Macaca mulatta: one gene and its partner. The protein of the gene in region 1 binds, or shares a complex with, the protein of each later gene. Links are inferred from orthologs where the notes say so. Each region holds a gene or a part of one and is shown in the gene's direction. Other genes may lie near its edges.

The links. The genes of interacting proteins can lie anywhere in the genome.
Region 2: the proteins of ACTB (region 1) and SETD3 are in contact, whole or in part, in a crystal structure (PDB 6ICT), measured with the Homo sapiens proteins. The link is inferred for Macaca mulatta from reciprocal best matches to the Homo sapiens genes ACTB and SETD3. Residues at the interface, in NP_001092.1 of Homo sapiens: Leu67, Lys68, Tyr69, Pro70, Ile71, Glu72, His73, Gly74, Ile75, Val76, Thr77, Asn78, Trp79, Asp80, Asp81, Met82, Lys84; in NP_115609.2 of Homo sapiens: Cys36, Ser37, Ile148, Ala151, Met152, Asn154, Ile155, Asn212, Arg215, Gln216, Val248, Val251, Met252, Thr253, Arg254, Gln255, Asn256, Gln257, Ile258, Pro259, Leu268, Ile271, Trp274, Asp275, Cys277, Ile284, Thr285, Thr286, Gly287, Tyr288.

The regions. Positions count from the first base shown.
Region 1 is NC_133408.1:43,741,926-43,751,468, reverse strand, and holds ACTB (actin, cytoplasmic 1), read left to right. Parts: upstream 1-3,926; 5' UTR 3,927-3,944; intron 3,945-4,802; 5' UTR 4,803-4,808; coding exon 4,809-4,931; intron 4,932-5,065; coding exon 5,066-5,305; intron 5,306-5,749; coding exon 5,750-6,188; intron 6,189-6,282; coding exon 6,283-6,464; intron 6,465-6,580; coding exon 6,581-6,724; 3' UTR 6,725-7,154; downstream 7,155-9,543. UniProt on the Homo sapiens protein: Actin is a highly conserved protein that polymerizes to produce filaments that form cross-linked networks in the cytoplasm of cells.
Region 2 is NC_133412.1:172,799,451-172,808,979, reverse strand, and holds the start of SETD3 (actin-histidine N-methyltransferase), read left to right. Parts: upstream 1-4,488; 5' UTR 4,489-4,595; intron 4,596-9,529. UniProt on the Homo sapiens protein: Protein-histidine N-methyltransferase that specifically mediates 3-methylhistidine (tele-methylhistidine) methylation of actin at 'His-73'. Histidine methylation of actin is required for smooth muscle contraction of the laboring uterus during delivery.

The DNA.
Region 1 (9,543 bases):
CGAGCATCCAATTTTTAAATTTAAATTTCCTTTTTTTTTTTTGAGACAGAGTCTTCCTCTGTCACCCAAGCTGGAATGCAGTGACCTGATCATAGTTCACTATAGCCTTGACCTTCCAAGCTCAAGCAATCCTCCTGCCCCAGCCTCCCAATTAGCTGGGAGTACAGGCATGTGCCACAACACCCAGCTAATTTTGTAGAGGTGGGATCTCCCATGTTGCCCAAGCTGGTCTCCAACTCCTAGGCTCAAGCGATCCTCCCTCCTTGGCCTCCCAAAATGCTGGGATTACAGGTATAAACCATCACACCCCAGCCGGAGGGCCCCCAGTTGTTGCTGTGTGACCACAGGCTGATGGTGTCCTCTCTGGGCCTCAGGTGATAAATGCTGAGGAGGGAGGTGGGGCCCAGGAATTCAGACTTTCAAACAGCCTTTGGACTTGGGCCTTGGGGACATTCCAGGGGACACTTTACTAGGGAGGGGTAGTGTGAGACAGGAGGCGGGGCTGCCACCTCTGGGGCCCTGAGCCCAGAGTCCTTCCCACCACATTTGGGGACTTGAGCACTTCACCAGTCCTGACTCAGTTTCCTAGTCTGTGAATGGGGGTGTGTCTCCTGGAATGTTGCACCCCCTCAATCATTCACTCACTCATTCATTATCCTCTCACAAGCACCTACTGTGTTCAGGGTGCTGAACTGTGCCCATCCTCCTGGAGCTAACTCAAGTCTAGGAGGGAAGCTTTGTCTCAGTTCCTTCCTCTAAAAAATGGAGCTTGAGGACGGGCATGGTGGCTCATGCCTGTAATCCCAGGACTTTGGGAGGCTGAGGTGGGAGGATCACTTGAGTCCCCAGGAGCTGGAGACCAGCCCGGGCAACATGGTGAGAAGCGCGAACTCTACAGATAATTTAAAAATTAGCCAGGCACGGAAGTGTGTGCCTACAGTCCTAGCTACTTGTGAGGGCTTTGAGCCCAGGAGGTCAAGGCTGCAGTGAGCTGTGACCGCACTCCAGCCTGGGCATCAGAGCAAGACCTGGTATCAAAAAAAAAAAAAAAAAAAAGGTAATAAAAAGGAGGCTGGATTCCCTCTTGGCAGGGTAGGGAGGGGGCTTCAGTGCCCAGGGCAAGGTGGCTGGGCGGTGGTTTTGCGGGAGGGCCAAGGAGGGGTCCCTGGGTCTGGGCTGTAAGAGTCGGTTGCCTGGAGGCCTTGCAGGGTGGGGGCGTCAACAAAGCAAAGGCTTGGAGGGGAAAAAACAAAAGCCCCAGCCAGGCAGGTGGAGTCCCCTTGGCTGAGTTCAACCGAGGGTTCTCTGGGGAATGCGTGCATACCCAAGTGACAGCTCCGAAAACTCCCTTCCAGGGCAAAGTTCCCAAGCGCAGAAGAGAACCTATTCACTTCTCCCCTGCTCAGCCCGCCCCCTGGCCAGCCAGTTCTACTTCCTCTTTTCCTGCTCCGCTGCTTGCTTTCTCTCTTCAGCTCCTCCCTGCCCCTCACCCCAGGCTGCTTGGCCACCTCCAACCTGCCATCTGAGGACATCCAGGCAGTCACTCATTCAACAGCGAGGAGCCCTGGGGTGGGTGTGGTGGGAAGGAGTGGGGGTGATGGAGACCCTGGGAGGGCTCGCAGCCTGGTGGGTGAGGCCCAGTTCTAAATGCCAGCTGCAAGCCTTGGTCTGAGGTAGGGAGGAAGGCATGGTTGCAGAGGCTAAAAGGTTTCCCTAAAGACGGACTTTCTGGGATGGGACTTGAAGGGTGCATAGGAGAGCACCAAGAAGTGGCCGCTGCAGACAGAGGGAACCACAAGCCAGGAGGACAGGCCAGGAAGGCTGCAGCCTGGGGTGGGGTGGGGCTGGAGCTTCTGTCTCTTGGCCAGCTGAGTAGAGGCCCAGTGGCAGCACAGGTCCTGCCTGGGGATCAGGTCTGCTCTGCACCCTACCTTGTTGCCTGGAGCCACCCACCCAACAGCCTCCCATCCTTGCTCTGCAGATCCGGTCCCATCCCCACCTCCCACAGCACTCCACCCAGTTCAACCTTTGAGGAACCCCCAGAACCAGCCCTCATCAACAGGCAGCAAAAAGGTCCCCCCCGCCCATCGCCCCACAACGCCGGCCTGGTGAACTGTAGGGTTGGCAGGTCCTGAGGCAGGTGGCAAGACGCCTGCAGCTGAAAGATACAAGGCCAGGCACAGGACAGTCCCATCCCCAGGAGGCAGGGAGTATACAGGCTGGGAAAGTTTGCCCTTGCGTGGGGTGGTGATGGAGGAGGCCTAGCAAGCCTTCTGGACTGTGAACCTGTGTCTGCCACTGTGTGCTGGGTGGTGGTCATCTTTCCCACCAGGCTGTGGCCTCTGCAACCTTCGAGGGAGGAGTGGGTCCCACTGACTGAGCACAGCCTTGTACCGTGAACTGGAACAAGGCCACAGGTTCCACGTCCTTATATGGACTCATCTTTGCCTGTTGCAACACACACTCAACGAACACCTACTACGTGCTGCAAAGCCCCCTGAAGGCCTGACGTGCCCCCACCTCACCACCCTTCCTATTTTTGTGTAAAAATCCAGCTTCTTGTCACCACCTCCAAGGAGGGGGAGGAGGAGAAGGGCATGTTCCTCTAGGTTGAGCTGAATGCCCCTCTGTGGTCCCACGCCACTGATCACTGCATGTCCACCAGCTGGGTACATACAGTCTCTGATTCCCAGAGCAGAACGACCCTAGCCACCCGGGTCTTGTGTGCTACTGAGTGGACAGACCCGAGGCAAGAAAGGGTGACAAGGAGAGGGTCTTCCCAGGCTGGCTTTGAGCTCCTACCCCGCCCCGCCCCCAATCCTCTCTGGCACATGGAGTCTTGGTCCCCAGAGTCCCCCCGCGGCCTCCAGATGGTCTGGGAGGGCAGTTCAGCTGTGGCTGCGCATAGCAGACATGCAATGAACGGTGGGCGCAGACCCAGGCTGTGTAGACCCAGCCCCCACACCCCGCAGTGCCTGGAGCTGCCTGGGTCACCCACTAACGCCCCAGGCCTGGTCTTGGCTGGGCGTGACCGCGTTACCCTCAGAAGCAGCAGCTCCTGGGGAAACTTTCCCTGCCCCGTAGAGCCCACCTTCCCAGGGCCGTGGCTGGGTGGGTTTGCAGCTTTCATCACAGGCCACCTCAAGCCACTGGACCGCTGGCGCCTGCCCTGTCCTGGGCAGTGTGGTCCTGCGACTTCTAAGTGGCCGCGAGGCCCCTGACTCCCCCAACACCACACTCTACCTCTCAAGCCCAAGTCTCTCCCTAGTGACCCACCCAGCCCATTTAGCTAGCTGAGCCCCATAGCCAGAGGTCCCGAGACCTGCTTTCAGGGCAGTTGCTCTGAAGTCGGCAAGGGGGAGTGACTGCCTGGCCACTCCATGCCCTTCAAGGGCTCCTTCTGCAGGAGCGCACAGCACCCAGGACCCTGGCACCCGTGCAGACCCTGGCCCACCCGACCTGGGCGCTCAGTGCCCAAGAGATGTCCACACCTAGAATGTCCCGCGGTGGGTGGGGGGCCCGAGAGACGGGCAGGCCGGGGACAGGCCTGGCCATGCGGGGCCGAACCGGGCACTGCCCAGCGTGGGGTGCGGGGGCCACCGCGCGCGCCCCCAACCCCCGGGCCCAGCACCCCAAGGCGGCCAACGCCAAAACTCTCCCTCCTCCTCTTCCTCAATCTCGCTCTCGCTCTTTTTTTTTTTTTCGCAAAAGGAGGGGAGAGGGGGTAAAAAAATGCTGCACTGTGCGGCGAGGCCGGTGAGTGAGCGGCGCGGGGCCAATCAGCGCGCGCCGTTCCGAAAGTTGCCTTTTATGGCTCGAGCGGCCGCAGCGGCGCCCTATAAAACCCGGCGGCGCGACGCGCCTCCACCGCCGAGACCGCGTCCGCCCCGCGAGCACAGAGCCTCGCCTTTGCCGCTCCGCCGCCTGTTCACACCCGCCGCCAGGTAAGCCCGGCCAGCCGACCCTGGTAGGCGGCTCCCGGCTCGGCTGCCTAAGGCCGCGGCCCCTTCGCCTGTGTAGAGCCGCCTGCGCCGCAGCGGGGGTCGCATGTGGGGACTGGACTGCAGTGGGGGACGCGGGAGAAGCCCCTGGGCCTCCAGAGATGTGGGGACACCCCGCTTCAGTTTGGCGGCGCGGGGCCCTGCTCGGGAGGCGCGCTCTGGGGGTGCTGCTCTCGGGATGGGGGCAGCCGGCGGGGTCTTTGTCCGAGCCGGCTTCTTGCCAGTGGGAACTGCAGGGTGGGCGCGGCGGAGCCCCCCCGCCAGGCTCGGTGGGGGGCTGGGGCGCCATTGCGCGTGCGTCCTGGGGCTTGGGGCGCTAACTCTGCGTGCGCGCTGGGAATCGGCGCTAGTTGCGCGTGCGCGCTGGGACTCCAGGCGCTAATTGCGCGTGCGTTCTGGGGCCCGGGTGCCGCGGCCTGGGCTGGGGCAAGGGCTGGCCCCGCCGGAAGGGGTGGGGTCGCGGAGGCTCCAGGGCGCTTGCGCGCACTTCCTGCCCGCGCCGCCGGCCGCCTGAGGGTGTGGCCGCCGCGCGCGCGCGCGCCGACCCGGCGCTATTTGAACGGAGCGGAGGCGGGGCCGGCTCCCGGTTGGGAGGGGGTGGGGGCCTGGCTTCCTGCCGCGCGCGGTGGGGACGCCTCCGACCAGTGTTTGCCTTTTATGGTAATAACGCGGCCGGCCCGGCTTCCTTTGTCCCCAATCTGGGCGCGCGCCTGCGCCCCCTGGCGGCCTAAGGCCTCGGCGCGCCGGAAGTGGGCAGGGCGGGGGCCACCTCGGCTCACAGAGCGCCCGGCTTTCCCGCAGCTCGCCATGGATGATGATATCGCCGCGCTCGTTGTCGACAACGGCTCCGGCATGTGCAAGGCCGGCTTCGCGGGCGACGATGCCCCCCGGGCCGTCTTCCCCTCCATCGTGGGGCGCCCCAGGCACCAGGTAGGGGAGCTGGGTGGGTGGGGCGGGCCCGGGAGCGGGCGGGAGGCGAGGGCGCTTTCTCTGCACGGGGGTCTCCCGGTTTCTGGGGTGGGGGCCGCGCCCGTGCTTAGGGCGCCTTGTTTTTTCTTTCCTAGGGCGTGATGGTGGGCATGGGTCAGAAGGATTCGTATGTGGGCGACGAGGCCCAGAGCAAGAGAGGCATTCTCACCCTGAAGTACCCCATCGAGCACGGCATCGTCACCAACTGGGACGACATGGAGAAGATCTGGCACCACACCTTCTACAATGAGCTGCGTGTGGCTCCTGAGGAGCACCCCGTGCTGCTGACCGAGGCCCCCCTGAACCCCAAGGCCAACCGCGAGAAGATGACCCAGGTAAGTGGCCCGCTACCTCTTGTGGTGGCCACCGCCCTCTTTCCTGGTCTCCCGGAGCTGCGCCCTTTCTCACTGGTTCTCTCTTCTGCCGTTCTTCGTAGGACTCTCTTCTCTGACCTGAGTCTCCTTTGGAACTCTGCAGGTTCTATTTGCTTTTTCCCAGATGAGCTCTTTTTCTGGTGTTTGCCTCTCTGACTAGGTGTCTAAAACAGACAGTGCTGTGGGTATAGGTACTAACATTGGCTCGTGTGACAAGCCCATGAGGCTGGTGTAAAGCGGCCTTGGAGTGTGTATTCAGTAGGTGCACAGTAGGTCTGAACAGAATCCCCATCCCAAGACCCCAGCACACTTAGCAGTGTTCTTTGCACTTCCTGCATGTCCCCCATCTGGCCTGGCTGTCCCAGTAGCTTCCTGAGTGTGACATGGTGCATTTCTTCCTTACAGATCATGTTTGAGACCTTCAACACCCCAGCCATGTACGTGGCCATCCAGGCTGTGCTGTCCCTGTACGCCTCTGGCCGTACCACTGGCATCGTGATGGACTCCGGTGACGGGGTCACCCACACTGTGCCCATCTACGAGGGGTATGCCCTCCCCCATGCCATCCTGCGTCTGGACCTGGCTGGCCGGGACCTGACTGACTACCTCATGAAGATCCTCACTGAGCGCGGCTACAGCTTCACCACCACGGCCGAGCGGGAAATCGTGCGTGACATTAAGGAGAAGCTGTGCTATGTCGCCCTAGACTTCGAGCAGGAGATGGCCACGGCGGCTTCCAGCTCCTCCCTGGAGAAGAGCTACGAGCTGCCCGATGGCCAGGTCATCACCATTGGCAACGAGCGGTTCCGCTGCCCTGAGGCTCTCTTCCAACCTTCCTTCCTGGGTGAGTGGAGACCCGCCTCCCGGCCCTGCCTGACCTGAGGGTCACCCTTCGGGCTGTGCTGTGGAAGCTAAGTCCGCCCTCATTTCTTCCTCAGGCATGGAGTCCTGTGGCATCCACGAAACTACCTTCAACTCCATCATGAAGTGTGACGTGGACATCCGTAAAGACCTGTACGCCAACACAGTGCTGTCTGGTGGCACCACCATGTACCCTGGCATTGCTGACAGGATGCAGAAGGAGATTACTGCCCTGGCGCCCAGCACGATGAAGATCAAGGTGGGTGTCCTTCCACCCTGAGCTGACCTGGGCAGGTGGGCCATGGGGCCCTGTGGTGTGTGGGGAGCTGTCACATCCGGGGTTCTCACTGCCTGTTTGTTTCCTTCCCTCCTCAGATCATTGCTCCTCCTGAGCGCAAGTACTCTGTGTGGATCGGCGGCTCCATCCTGGCCTCGCTGTCCACCTTCCAGCAGATGTGGATCAGCAAGCAGGAGTATGACGAGTCTGGCCCTTCCATCGTCCACCGCAAATGCTTCTAGGCGGACTGTGACTTAGTTGCGTTACACCCTTTCTTGACAAAACCTAACTTGCGCAGAAAACAAGATGAGATTGGCATGGCTTTATTTGTTTTTTTTGTTTTGTTTTGGTTTTTTTTTGGCTTGACTCAGGATTTAAAAACTGGAACGGTGAAGGTGACAGCAGTCGGTTGGAGCGAGCATCCCCCAAAGTTCTACAATGTGGCCGAGGACTTTGATTGTACATTGTTCTTTTTTTTAATAGTCATTCCAAATATGAGATGCATTGTTACAGGAAGTCCCTTGCCCTCCTAAAAGCCACCCCACTTCTCTCTAAGGAGAATGGCCCAGTCCTCTCCCGAGTCCACACAGGGGAGGTGATAGCATTGCTTTCGTGTAAATTATGTAATGCAAAATTTTTTTAATCTTCGCCTTAATACTTTTTTATTTTGTTTTATTTTGAATAATGAGCCTTCATGCCCCCTCTTTTTGTCCCCCAACTTGAGATGTCTGAAGGCTTTTGGTCTCCCTGGGAGTGGGTGGAGGCAGCCAGGGCTTACCTGTACACTGACTTGAGACCAGTTGAATAAAAGTGCACACCTTACAAATGAGGCCAAGAGTGACTTTGTGGCATGACTGGGTTGTGGGCAGTGGAGGGTGATCCTTGAAGGGTGGGGTGGTGGGGGCCAACTTGTCCTTACCTAGAGTGGAGGTGGGCCAAGGTCCCTTCCGCCTTGACATTGAGCAGCCTTAGAGGGTGGGGGAAGATTCAGGATTCAGGTCTCTGTTTCTGCTTACTGGGGAGTTCCTGTCCTGGCCCTTCCACCCATTCCCAGGTACCCTAGTTTCTCTGGTACTCAGTGCATATGCTTGAGGTGGAAATGGTTTGAGGTGGAAAACGCTTGAGGAAAATGCTTGAGGTGGAAAATGCTGTTTTGGGGTGTCTGGTGGCCCAGGTGCCATTTCTCATTGGGGTTGGTTGGCACCTGGATTTTCTGGGAGTGGAACTCCCTGAGGGTCAACTTTTAGCATGGTGTTCCCTTGAGTGGGGGTGTAGTGGGTGTTCGTAGCTGCCACACCTTTGCCTTCACCATATGGAGTGGTGGCTGTCGGTCACCTTTGAGGGTCAGCCTGGCCCAGGCTCCCATAGGCTGAGGAAAGGCTGGGATTCCTGCCTATTCACCCAGACTGGGGAACCTGGAATCACAGTCAGTTGGGTTGGGGGATCCATGGGGCCATATCTGGTCTGCAGACAGCTCTGGTTAGCTGTGGGCTGAGGTCTGGATTCTGCCTTGTGACTGCAGACAGTGCCATCCCGTGGCCTCTCGGCCAGTTTCTTCGTGATCTACAGAGGGAGACATCCAGACTCCTGGACAGCAGGGCCTGCCTGGCACTGCAGGCAGATTCTTTTTTTTTTCTTTTTTTTTTGTTATTTGAGACGGAGTCTCCCTCTGTCACCCAGGCTGGAGTGTGGTGGCCGGATCTCAGCTCACTGCAAGCTCTGCCTCCCGGGTTCACGCCATTCTCCTGCCTCAGCCTCCCGAGTAGCTGGGACTACAGGCGCCCGCCACCACGCCTGGCTAGTTTGTTTTTGTATTTCTTAGTAGAGACTGGGTTTCACCGTGTTAGCCAGGATGGTCTCGATCTCCTGACCTCGTGATCCACCCGTCTCGGCCTCCCAAAGTGCTGGGATTACAGGCTTGAGCCACCGCGCCCGGCCTCTTTTTTTATTCTTGAGCTCGGGTGTTGTGTTGCCCAGGCTGGAGTGCAATGGCACAACCATGGCTCACTGCAGCCTCAACTTTCTGGGCTCGAGCAATTCTCCTGCCTCAGCCTCCCAAGTAGCTGAAACTACACAGGCACACCCCAGCATGCCCAGCTAGTTGCAGGTCAGATTCTCATTGTTCTGCAGGGCCCTGAGTTAAATACTCTTGCAGGAAGAAACCAAGCCTGGCCTCCCTTCCCTCTGCTAGAAGCTGTGATTGACACAAGCAGAGAATGAAGAAAAGGGTGAGGATCCCTTGCAGGGATGCCGTTTACCCAAAACACCACCTGGTGCATAGTAGTTCTGGAAATGATTCGGTCCTCCCAGGAGGCCTAGGACTGCCTCACCTGTGTATAGTGGCTGCTGGCAGAGAGGAAGGTGGTCCCCTTCCTCCTGGGTCCCCTGAAGGACTGTCTGGGGCAGTTCCAGCTCTTTTGGTCTGATTTCTGCAGTGGTGAGCCCTGGGCCACCTTGGGCCACTTAAGCACCCATTCATTGAGTGACCACTATATGGCGGGCCCGAGGCTGCTGAGATGACCTGGGCAAGGACCCTGCCCTGGAGGAGCTGTCAGTCTGGAAATGAGGACTTCATTCATTCACTTATTCGTCCATCCATCCAATCACTGTTTGTGCCAGGTACTGCAGGTATAGAGGAGAACCAACCAGATGTGTTCCCTGTTCTCACCAGGCACCCAGTTTAACGGGGAAGACATCACAAGCACGAAGGCAAATGAATGTACAATGACATGCTGTGATCATGGGAAGAAAGAGCAGAGGCTTTGATGAACACGAGCATCAGGTGATGTTCTTTATGTCATTGTGGTGGTGGTCTCCCAGATGTAGACATACTTCAAAACTTACCTAATTGGGCCTGCCGTGATGACGCATGCCTGTAATCCCAGCACTTTGGGAAGCTGAGGTGGGAGGATCGCTTGAGCCCAGCAGCTCAAGGCTGCAGTGAGCTATGATTGCACCACTGCACTGCAGCCTGGGTGACAGAACAAGACCCTGACTCTAAAAACTAAAATAGACCAGGCAGGCGTGATGGCTCGCACCTGTAATCGCAGCACTTTGGGAG
Region 2 (9,529 bases), on another chromosome or scaffold:
GCCGGGTGTGGTGGCAGGCACCTGTAGTCTCAGCTACTCGGGAGGCTAAGGCAGGAGAATGGCGTGAACCCGGGAGGCGGAGCTTGCAGTGAGCTGAGATCGAGATTGCGCCACTGCACTCCAGCCTGGGTGACAGAGCAAGACTCCGACTCAAAAAAAAAAGACTAAATATATTTTCTACATTTAGAATTATGGAAACAATAGTAAATGTCACCACTCAATTATCTCACCCAATATCGAAATCCCCTCTTAGTAATATTTGGCCACTTATCAATGAAACAGCATTGCTGGGTATCAATAACTGGTGTTCACATAATTCCTATATTCCTATATTGATTTTTATCTGTTCTGTTCATCCCCTAGATCTGCTACACAGATGGCGTAAAATAATGCATGAATGAAATCTACCTTTTAGCGACTCTTTAACTTCTACCAGGGTCCTTAAACTAACCTTTGAAAATACATTTCCCTTATCTATTGATTGTCTTTCAAATAGGTAAAAGCAATTTTTACATTCTCTTCTCTAGGGTAAACAAATCTAACCATTTTTCTCATCATGACTTTTTTTTTTTTTTTTTTAAGTGTTTCAAGTCCTCCCTAAATATTAGGAATCAAAACAGATATGATGTGCATAGCACATGGGAGGGGGGTGGTAACTAACATTCAGTAACATGTCCATTGTGTGTCTGCTGCGTTGCAGCCATGTCTGCAAGCTAGTTTTCTTATCCTCACAATTTATCACTGAGAAAATGGAGCCAGAGACACGAAGCAACCTGACTAATTCACAGCTAGCAAGCAGCAGCCACAATCTGTCTTACTTTATACCAAGATACTGCCTTCCCTCAATCTAGACACTGCTTTTCTTCTGTAAGTGGAACATTACATCCTAGAACCACTTTTCTCAAGCCAGGAAAACTGAGTTTTTGTAAATGTAATCACACCAACTAAATTTATTTATTTAAAAAAAATTTTTGAGACGATCTCACCTAGTAAATTTATATCTGGTTGGTTCTGGCCTATTATTATATTCCAGCCTTTAAGAACTCTTTGATTTCTGAGTGTCATCTAATGTGTGGCTGATTATCACTACATGGTTTGAGTGCATTTATTAACTTGAGAATCATGCTGTTTATATATTTAAAGTTGGTAATAAAAAAGTGTTAATCAGAGGCCGGGTGCGGTGGCTCAAGCCTGTAATCCCAGCACTTTGGGAGGCCGAGACGGGTGGATCACGAGGTCAGGAGATCGAGACCATCCTGGTGAACACAGTGAAACCCCGTCTCTACTAAAACTACAAAAAAAAAAAAAAAAAAACCTAGCCGGGCGAGGTGGCAGGCGCCTGTAGTCCCAGCTACTCGAGAGGCTGAGGCAGGAGAATGGCGTGAACCCGGGAGGCGGAGCTTGCAGTGAGCTGAGATCAGGCCACTGCACTCCAGCCTGGGCGACAGAGCAAGACTCCGTTTCAAAAAAAAAAAAAAAGTGTTAATCAGAGCAAGGGCAACACCAGAGTCCTGTAGCATATCTCCAAAGACAACTCTTCAGGTTTACATCAACCCATTAATCAACATTTTGGGGTTGGTAATTTGCATGGATATCAATCCATCTAACCACACCTTATCCAATGCATATTTAACTCTTGTATCTAGACACAGTATTAGAATCTTGTTGGAAGACTGTGTCCTAAATAAACTTAAACGAACTTACGTCCAGCAATCCCCAATCACCACCAGTCTAGTAACAAAAGGAAATGATTTGTGTCACCTGGCTTTTTCTTGAAACAGGGTCTTGCTCTGTCGCCCAGGCTGGAGTGCAGTCACGTGATCACGACTCACTGCAGCCTTGATCTCTAACTCAAATGATCCTCCTGCCTCAGTCTCCCTAGCTACCACAGGCATGCACCTCCACATCTGGCTAATTTTTTTATTTTTTTTTAGTGATGAGGTCTCACTATGTTGCCCAGGATGGTCTTGAACTCCTGAGCTTCAGTGATCCTCCAGCTTTGGCCTCCCAGAGTACTGGTATTATAAGCGTGAGCCACCACCTCTGGCCTCACCTGGCCTTTTCTTATTGAAGCTCTGTTGGCTTCAGGGAATCAGCTCTCCTTTCCCAAGTACTCATAAACTTGTTGGCTCTTCCAACCAGATTCTAAAAGTTTATTAATAGGTTCCTAGCAGCCAAGGGCCATCGAATGGTTCTGTGTGAAAACTGAGACATTTACCAGACTCTAGTCTTCTATCATTAACTGCACTTTTAGGATTTTTCAAAATTTATGAATAATGATTTTATAAAGTCATCTGCAAATACTCTGGTATACAATTTACCTGAGCTTAAAAATATGATCACTCTGTAATCTCCTCAATTACCTTGAATTTAATTCCTCTAGATTTTTTTGTCCTCATCCAGTTTTAAAGAAAACAAGCAGAAAACACTGTCCTCCCTTTTAGACACTAAGCAGAGTCACTGCTTTCAAATATAACGTCCTAAAATGAACTAGCCCATTTTATAGGCCACGGCTATGACCAATTTTTCTTTATGACATTCAATTTTAGAAACAGCATTTAACATTTAAGAACCTCATTAACAACTCGAATAGTTTTTATTGCTTGTTGGTGCAACCTACATTTTCAAAATGGAACAAATTTAAACAGGATTTGCCTAGAAATCGACTAATATGCTGGAATACTGCATCACAGTATAATCGAAATGAGATACAAGAGGGGGAAAAAACCCTAAAAGACAGCAGTGGTAGTCGCTCTGAATAAAACAATCTCGGATAATTACTATATTCATAGTCAAGATTATTTAACAGGTAAGCATCCTAAGGGCATAACTTTAATCCAGATGTCTATCAATACTATTACCATTACCACCATCTATCCATTCTTTCATTCAGCAATACGGAGGGCTTATTAAACGTCAGGCAGTGTTCCAGGCGCTGAAAGCTCCTCGCTTTCATTCTAGCAACATCATTCATACAAACTTTTAGTGGGCACCTACAATTGCAAGGCATTGTGCTAGATATCTGTAAACAGCGATTTACATCGAGATACACAAACATCACCAAGTTTCCCTTAAAAACATAGACCACCCTTAAGAAATGCTTAGAAGTTCCTAACCTCAGATGACTTAGCAAAAGCTCCGTTTAACTGGCAATCTAAATTTAGCGAGCACTACCGAGCCTATCTTGGGCAGACAATAGTTTAGGAGCTGTCAGATAACCTCTAGATTTACGCTCCAATTTTCTAAAGAACAATTTCTCTCATAACAAACCAAAGCAACCACCAGGAGCGCGTCCGTAAAGACGATGTCTCGGCAACAACTAAATCTAACCGCGGAAGTGCCTTTTCCTCATTCTTAGTCGCACCCTCGTTACGTGGCTCTTCAAAACTCCAAAGTCGGAGTACCCTAGACATGGAACAACCTCCAAAAAGTCTCAGGCCTAGCCAAGGTTGGGACTAATACGCCGCGAAATAATCGGGGAGATATGAGCAGTCTGTGGCTGTGAGACTGCGCGGTTAACACCCCTGCCCCTTTTGTCCAACCCCTAGAAAGTCCCCGAACTCTGACTGCTCCCCAGTGCGAGGGCCGCTACCAGTTCTAGACTGAGCCCGGCCTCCCTGCCCCGCCCCGGCGCCTCAGACCCTCTCTACACGCCCGCCCCACAGCCCCGCGCCGCCCGCTAAGTTCAATGTGTACCGGAGGTTAGCGGAGGGAGGCAGAATCCGGAAAGAGAGACTCCGCCAGTGGATGGCGGCGGTTGACCATAACCTACTCTGACCTCCAGATACGCGGGAGGTGGGCGGTGCTGCCCGCAGTCGGTGGGTCACTCACCTCTCGCTTCAGGCAAGCCCCTTAGCGACGTCTCTCCTTGCGTACTGCGGCCATCTTGCATGTGGAATGTCGGGGAACTACGTCATCACGCTGCGTCTTGAGACGAAAACCAAGCGACCGGAGGGGCGGAGAGAGTAGGATGCCTGTCAACCAATGGGAAGAAAGCAGAGCTCTCAAAAGAGGAACAAGCCGCCGCTCTCCTCCCCGCCCGCCCGCCCGCCCCGCGGGACAGTGGCTGCTGCGTGCAGGGGGAGGAGCCAGTCACAGGGCCCATCCCGTCGGTCCCGCCCCTTGGAGCAAAAAGGCATTCTGGAGCAACCGAACCTGCTAACGGAACTTGGGCGCGTAGGCGGGGCCCGGGTCGAGATTCGTCCAATCAGAGCTCTGGCGGGGGCGAACGCAGCCAATTGCGACTTCGGGGTTGGCGGCCGCTGAGCCGGCCGCTCTCGTCCCCGGGAGCCGCCAGCCCACTGGCTGGGGAGGACCCCGGACGGAACGCCGGCTGGGCGGCGGGGCGGGGCCGCGCCCATGCGTCCGAGGTGTGGACCAATGAGCAGCGGCGGCGGCGGCCCGGGGGCGGGGTCCGGGGCGGGCGGAGCAGGGTTGGGCCGCGGCAGCGGGGCCGTCTCAGGCTGCCGTCCCGCCCCTCCCGTCCGGCCGCCGCCGCCGCCGCCACCGCCGCCACCGCCTGGGGGTTGGTTGAGGCGGACGGCGGGGTCCGGGCCGGAGTGCGTCGTTCCCGCTGCGCTAAGGGAAGCGGGCAGGTGAGTGCTGGCGGCGGTCTCTGCGCGCGCGCGGCCCGCGGGCTGCGGGGAAAACTCGCGCTGCGTCTCCGAGCTCTACGAGGCCGTCCCTCGCCCTGGCCAGCGCCCCTCGGCCGAAGTCCGGCCCGCGCCCCCGCCAGGGTCTCCGCTTGCCGCTCTGGGCCCAGGGCTTGAAGGGGGCAGGTGTGCGCTCGGGTGCCTGGGCGGGGAGGGCCCGGCGGGGTCGGAGGGCTCCGGTCGGCCTCTGCCCGGGCGCCCTGCGGGGCGGGAGGCGCGCTCTCGCCGCTGCCCGGTCCCCTCTGCCGCCCACGCTCCCGGGCCTCGCGCCACCCGGTCTCGAGGTGGTGGCAGGTGCAGGCAGCGCTCTCCCCGCGCTTGGTCTCCTGTCCCCGGCCCTCGCTCCTGCTCTCGGGTGGGGCCCTGGTCCCTCGGGCTGGTCGGCTCGGCTCGGCGCGCGGCCGGGTCGAGCTCTCATTTCCTTCCTTCCTCCCGTCTCCCCGCTGCTCGGGGAAGGCCGTGCGGTTTTATGTTCCTCTCTGCGAGTTCTCGGTGCCCACCGGGGTGCCCGGGGACCAGCCCCCGCCTCCTCCCGCTCGGTCCAGTTAGGAAGACGGTCGTAGGAAATAGGTCGTCTTTCTTCCCACGCGTCCCTGGCCGTGCTCCACACGCGCAGTGCCCTACCAGGGAGAGGCATTCAGTGCTTTAGAGTTTGTCATTCCGGCGTTAAACTCTTCTCCTCGTGGCTCCAGCCTGGCGATGCAACTCTGTCTTTCCCCCGTCTCCACTCGGGAAAAGGAGCCGACAGTGACGCGCGCCACTGGCTGCGGGGCTCACCCTCGTCGGGCCGGGGTTGGGAGGAGGGCATTTAAGTATTGCAGAGGCATTCACGGCTTAGGACCACTCGGACCGTGTTATTTTGCTTTTCTAAATAAATAAGGTGATATTTCAAAAATACTTTTAAAGTATGCTGACAAATTAATTTTGCTTTTAAGAATCCTCGAAGAGTTACCTCTCTCTTCGTAGCCTGATTGTGGTGCTGATGAGACCACTATAAATGCGTTTGTCAAAACTCAGAACCGGACACTGAAAAGTGTGGATTTTATCTTACGTAAACTATACCTCTTCCTCTCCCGTTTTTCTTCTTGAAATGACCTTGCCAGTATTTCAGAACTGAGCTAACCAGTAATAATGTCGGAGAAGTGTTTATTATTTTAAGTAAATACCTTTAATCCAAGAATATAGCGAAATAAAAGCAGTCTTCCTCTCCAGTGTTAAAATTTGCCAAGACTTGCTTGAACCTTGCTGTATATACTGTGTTTATACGGGCTACCATGCGTGAAGAAAGTCCAGCAGTACCGGATTAGTCCCAGGGGCTGCCGTGATTGATACTTTGGTGAAATTCCAACAGTTTACCGAGGAGTTTTTCTCTGGCCTAAGAAAGTAGTTTGCAAAGCCAAGTTCTCAAACAGCTACAGAACCTCTTTATTGGGACCCCAGACAACCTTGGATTTTAGCCTTCTGCTACCCCTTTCCTGTCTGCCCTCTAAGTGATTGTAAGTTAATATCTGAAATGGAACTCTAGTCTGAAGGAGTAAAATGGTTGCTTCTCCAGTGTGCTAACATCTCAGGGCTTTTTTTCCTGGAATTGGAGTGGTGTTGAATTTGAAGATTAAAACATCTTATGTTTGTATGTACGTTAATAGCGAAAGCTACTCGTAAGAGCACAGTGACTGTCAGTGAGAAAGTGATGGCTGCTGCGATGCTCTTCCCTGCCGTGGACATTTAGGCCACGTTTTAAATGATAATTAAACTTTCGCTTTAGAAGCCTGGATAATGAGAAAAATGTGGAGGTTGTACTCAGATATTTTTCCTGTTTAAAGCTCAACCACTGGACAACTGTTTTTGTTTTGAGAGTTCTGATAAACGGTCACAACAGCCTCCTTGAAACACAGTACTCTCCTGCCTGGAGGAGAATGACAGGATGACGGCACCGGGGAAAGTATGACCATCAGCCACAAAGGCTTGCTTGGAGTGAATATTTAATAGACAGTCATTGAATTCAGTGAAAACCAGGTGCATAGTTTGTGCTGTGTAGAGTTGTAGTAAAAATATAAGCAATAATCCCACCTCCAAGTCAGGGTTACTATGAATGCTTTGTGACTAGATGTCAGGGTAGTTTGAGGCGTACTGGGTATCTGAAATGTTTGAATTACAGAGTCTTTTTTCTTATCACGAATCCGAGGTAGGGTTTAGAACTGTAACTAATAATGTATCTTTCTTATGTGTAGTTGGATGACTGTCCTTCTCTGAGAGGTTGTTTATCTTTAGAGACTGGTTTGCCTGTTCCCTGGTTGCTGTGCCTGGTGCTTCTTTTGGGGGTGGGGAGGAAGAGTTTCAAGTGTGTTTCTTTCCCTTGGACCGAAGTCCTGGGAATGGAGTGGTGACTTTGTTCCCCCAAAGAGAACTAAGAGTCATTTATTCCTATGGCATTAAATGTTTTTAACAGAGCAGTGAACTTACCTTTATTCTTATGTTACTTTGGATTTTGCTTGTGGCCAGTTATAATATTTGCTTTCTCAATTACCTGCCATTATTTTTGGGCCCTTTCTTTATCAGTGAAAACTCTTCTGATTAGCTGTGCATCTTTTCTCTCCTGCTACAGTCATAGAAGTGTTTATCTGGGTAACAGTTTGTTCTGGGTCATATTTAGACTGAAGATTCTTGCTTTTACAGTTTTCTACAGTTTTCACTTTTGTTGCCTTTACAATGGATTTCTGTCCATTGGATTTCCTTTTATCATCTCATTTTTCTATTCATAACATTGGAGAGGTTAACTATGTTGATATGCAAATATAATTAATTTACATAATTACTCAAGTTAAAAAATTTCTATCGAAATATTAATATATATAATGTATTTTCCTATTACAAAGAAGTTTAGACTTGGCTTTTTTTTTTTTTTGAGATGGAGTTTCTCTTTTGTTGCCCAGGCTGGAGTGCAATGTCGCAATCTCGGCTCACTGCGACCTCTGCTTCCTGGGTTCATTCTCCTGCCTCAGCCTCCCGAGCAGCTGGGATTACAGGCATGCGCCCCCACACCTGGCTAATTTTGTATTTTTAGTAGAGACGGGGTTTCTCCATGTTGGTCAGGCTGGTCTCAAACTCCCGACCTCAGGTGACCTGCCCACCTTGGCCTCCCAAAGTGCTGGGATTACAGGCGTGAGCCACAGCACTGGGCTGAGACTTGGCTTTTTAAAAAGTCACTTAATAGTCTTTTGAAAAAAAATTAGCATCTCCAAGATTAAGAAGTCTTGCTTTTTAACTCAAGCCAGAGATTAGCTGTGTTGACCCCGTTTCCACTTGGGAGTCTCCTGTGAGTTTTGGAAATAAACAGACTGTAAAAACAAGAGGTAAAAACACAGATATTGAACATTTTCAACTGAGATAAATTTGACAAATACCAAAGTTAAGACTTTGCAATTCTTTTTTTTCTTGTATCAAGTACTTTCCAAGTAGAAGTGAACTAGTAAGTCCATACAGTCTTGGTTGACAATGGAAGACACATCTATCTTTGATGTTAAGATTTTGAAAGGGATCTACTGATTACTAAGCCAAAGTGAATTCTTAGCCTTTTACGAGCCTAACCTCAGTACTGGGATGGGGAAGTAGGGGAGGGCAGAGGGACAGAGCAGGAAGAAATGTTTCCACTGTTTTTTAGAAAGACAAAAAAATTGTCTAGAGAATGTAGATAATCAGGTGTCTACATGGAACTTTTTATTTTTAATTTTTAATTGACAAAAATATTTGATACATAGAACTCTTTTTTTTTTTTGAGACGGAGTCTTGCTCTGTCGCCTGGGCTGGAGTTCAGTGGCCGGATCTCTCAGCTCACTGCAAGCTCCTCCTCCTAGGTTTAGGCCATTCTCCTGCCTCAGCCTCCCGAGTAGCTGGGACTACAGGCGCCCGCCACCTCGCCCAGCTAGTTTTTTGTATTTTTTAGTAGAGACGGGGTTTCACCGTGTTAGCCAGGATGGTCTCAATCTCCTGACCTCGTGATCCACCTGTCTCAGCCTCCCAAAGTGCTGGGATTACAGGCTTGAGCCACCGCGCCCGGCCAAGAACTCTTAATAAAATGTGCACTATCTTAGGCTTATCACTATCTGTGATCCTGAGTTTCACTTTCCTTTTTTTTAAGAAAACAAGTCATTAGGACGTAACAGGTCTAAGAAATTCTTCCAACTAAAGGGTTTACAATGTTCAGTCTCAGAAAATAGACATGCCTTTTCAATATCAGCAGTTTTCTCTGACACATATTTGAGAGGAAGTAAGGATTAGTGTTATTAAAGCTGCTTTTACCATAAAATGTTTACGGGTGTCTAATAACATTTTTGATTTGTTGGTTGTAATAATTTAGCATTGCTGCATGTCATGGTCACCTCATGGTTCTGCGTTTTTCCTCCGCAACAAAAATGTGGCATTGCAGAGATCACTGTGGGATGTACTGGATTGGGTGGAAGCTCTTTTGGAAGTTTCGCGCATGTCCCAATTTAACCTGCAGCTCCTCCTATGTATTTGGACAAAGCCAGCAAAATAACTATACTTTTAAAAGGCCAAAGAAATAAAGCCTTTACATGCGTATGTTTTATCACTGCAAAGGAATAGTATTATTTTGAATATCAGAGATAACAGTGAACCTTTGGAGCTCTCATAAATGGGTTGGTTTTGAGCCGAATTCATGAAATATTATTGAGTATCAGTAAGAGTTGTCATTGAGGTGTGCTGGTGAGGCTCTGACACAAACTGAGTCTATCATTTTGCATAAATTACTCAGTCTCTGTAAGTGTCAACTTTCTCATCTGTAAAGGGGGCTTGTTAATACCTATCTGATACTGTGTAAAATGCTTACCTCAATTCCTGATCATATAACAAATGCC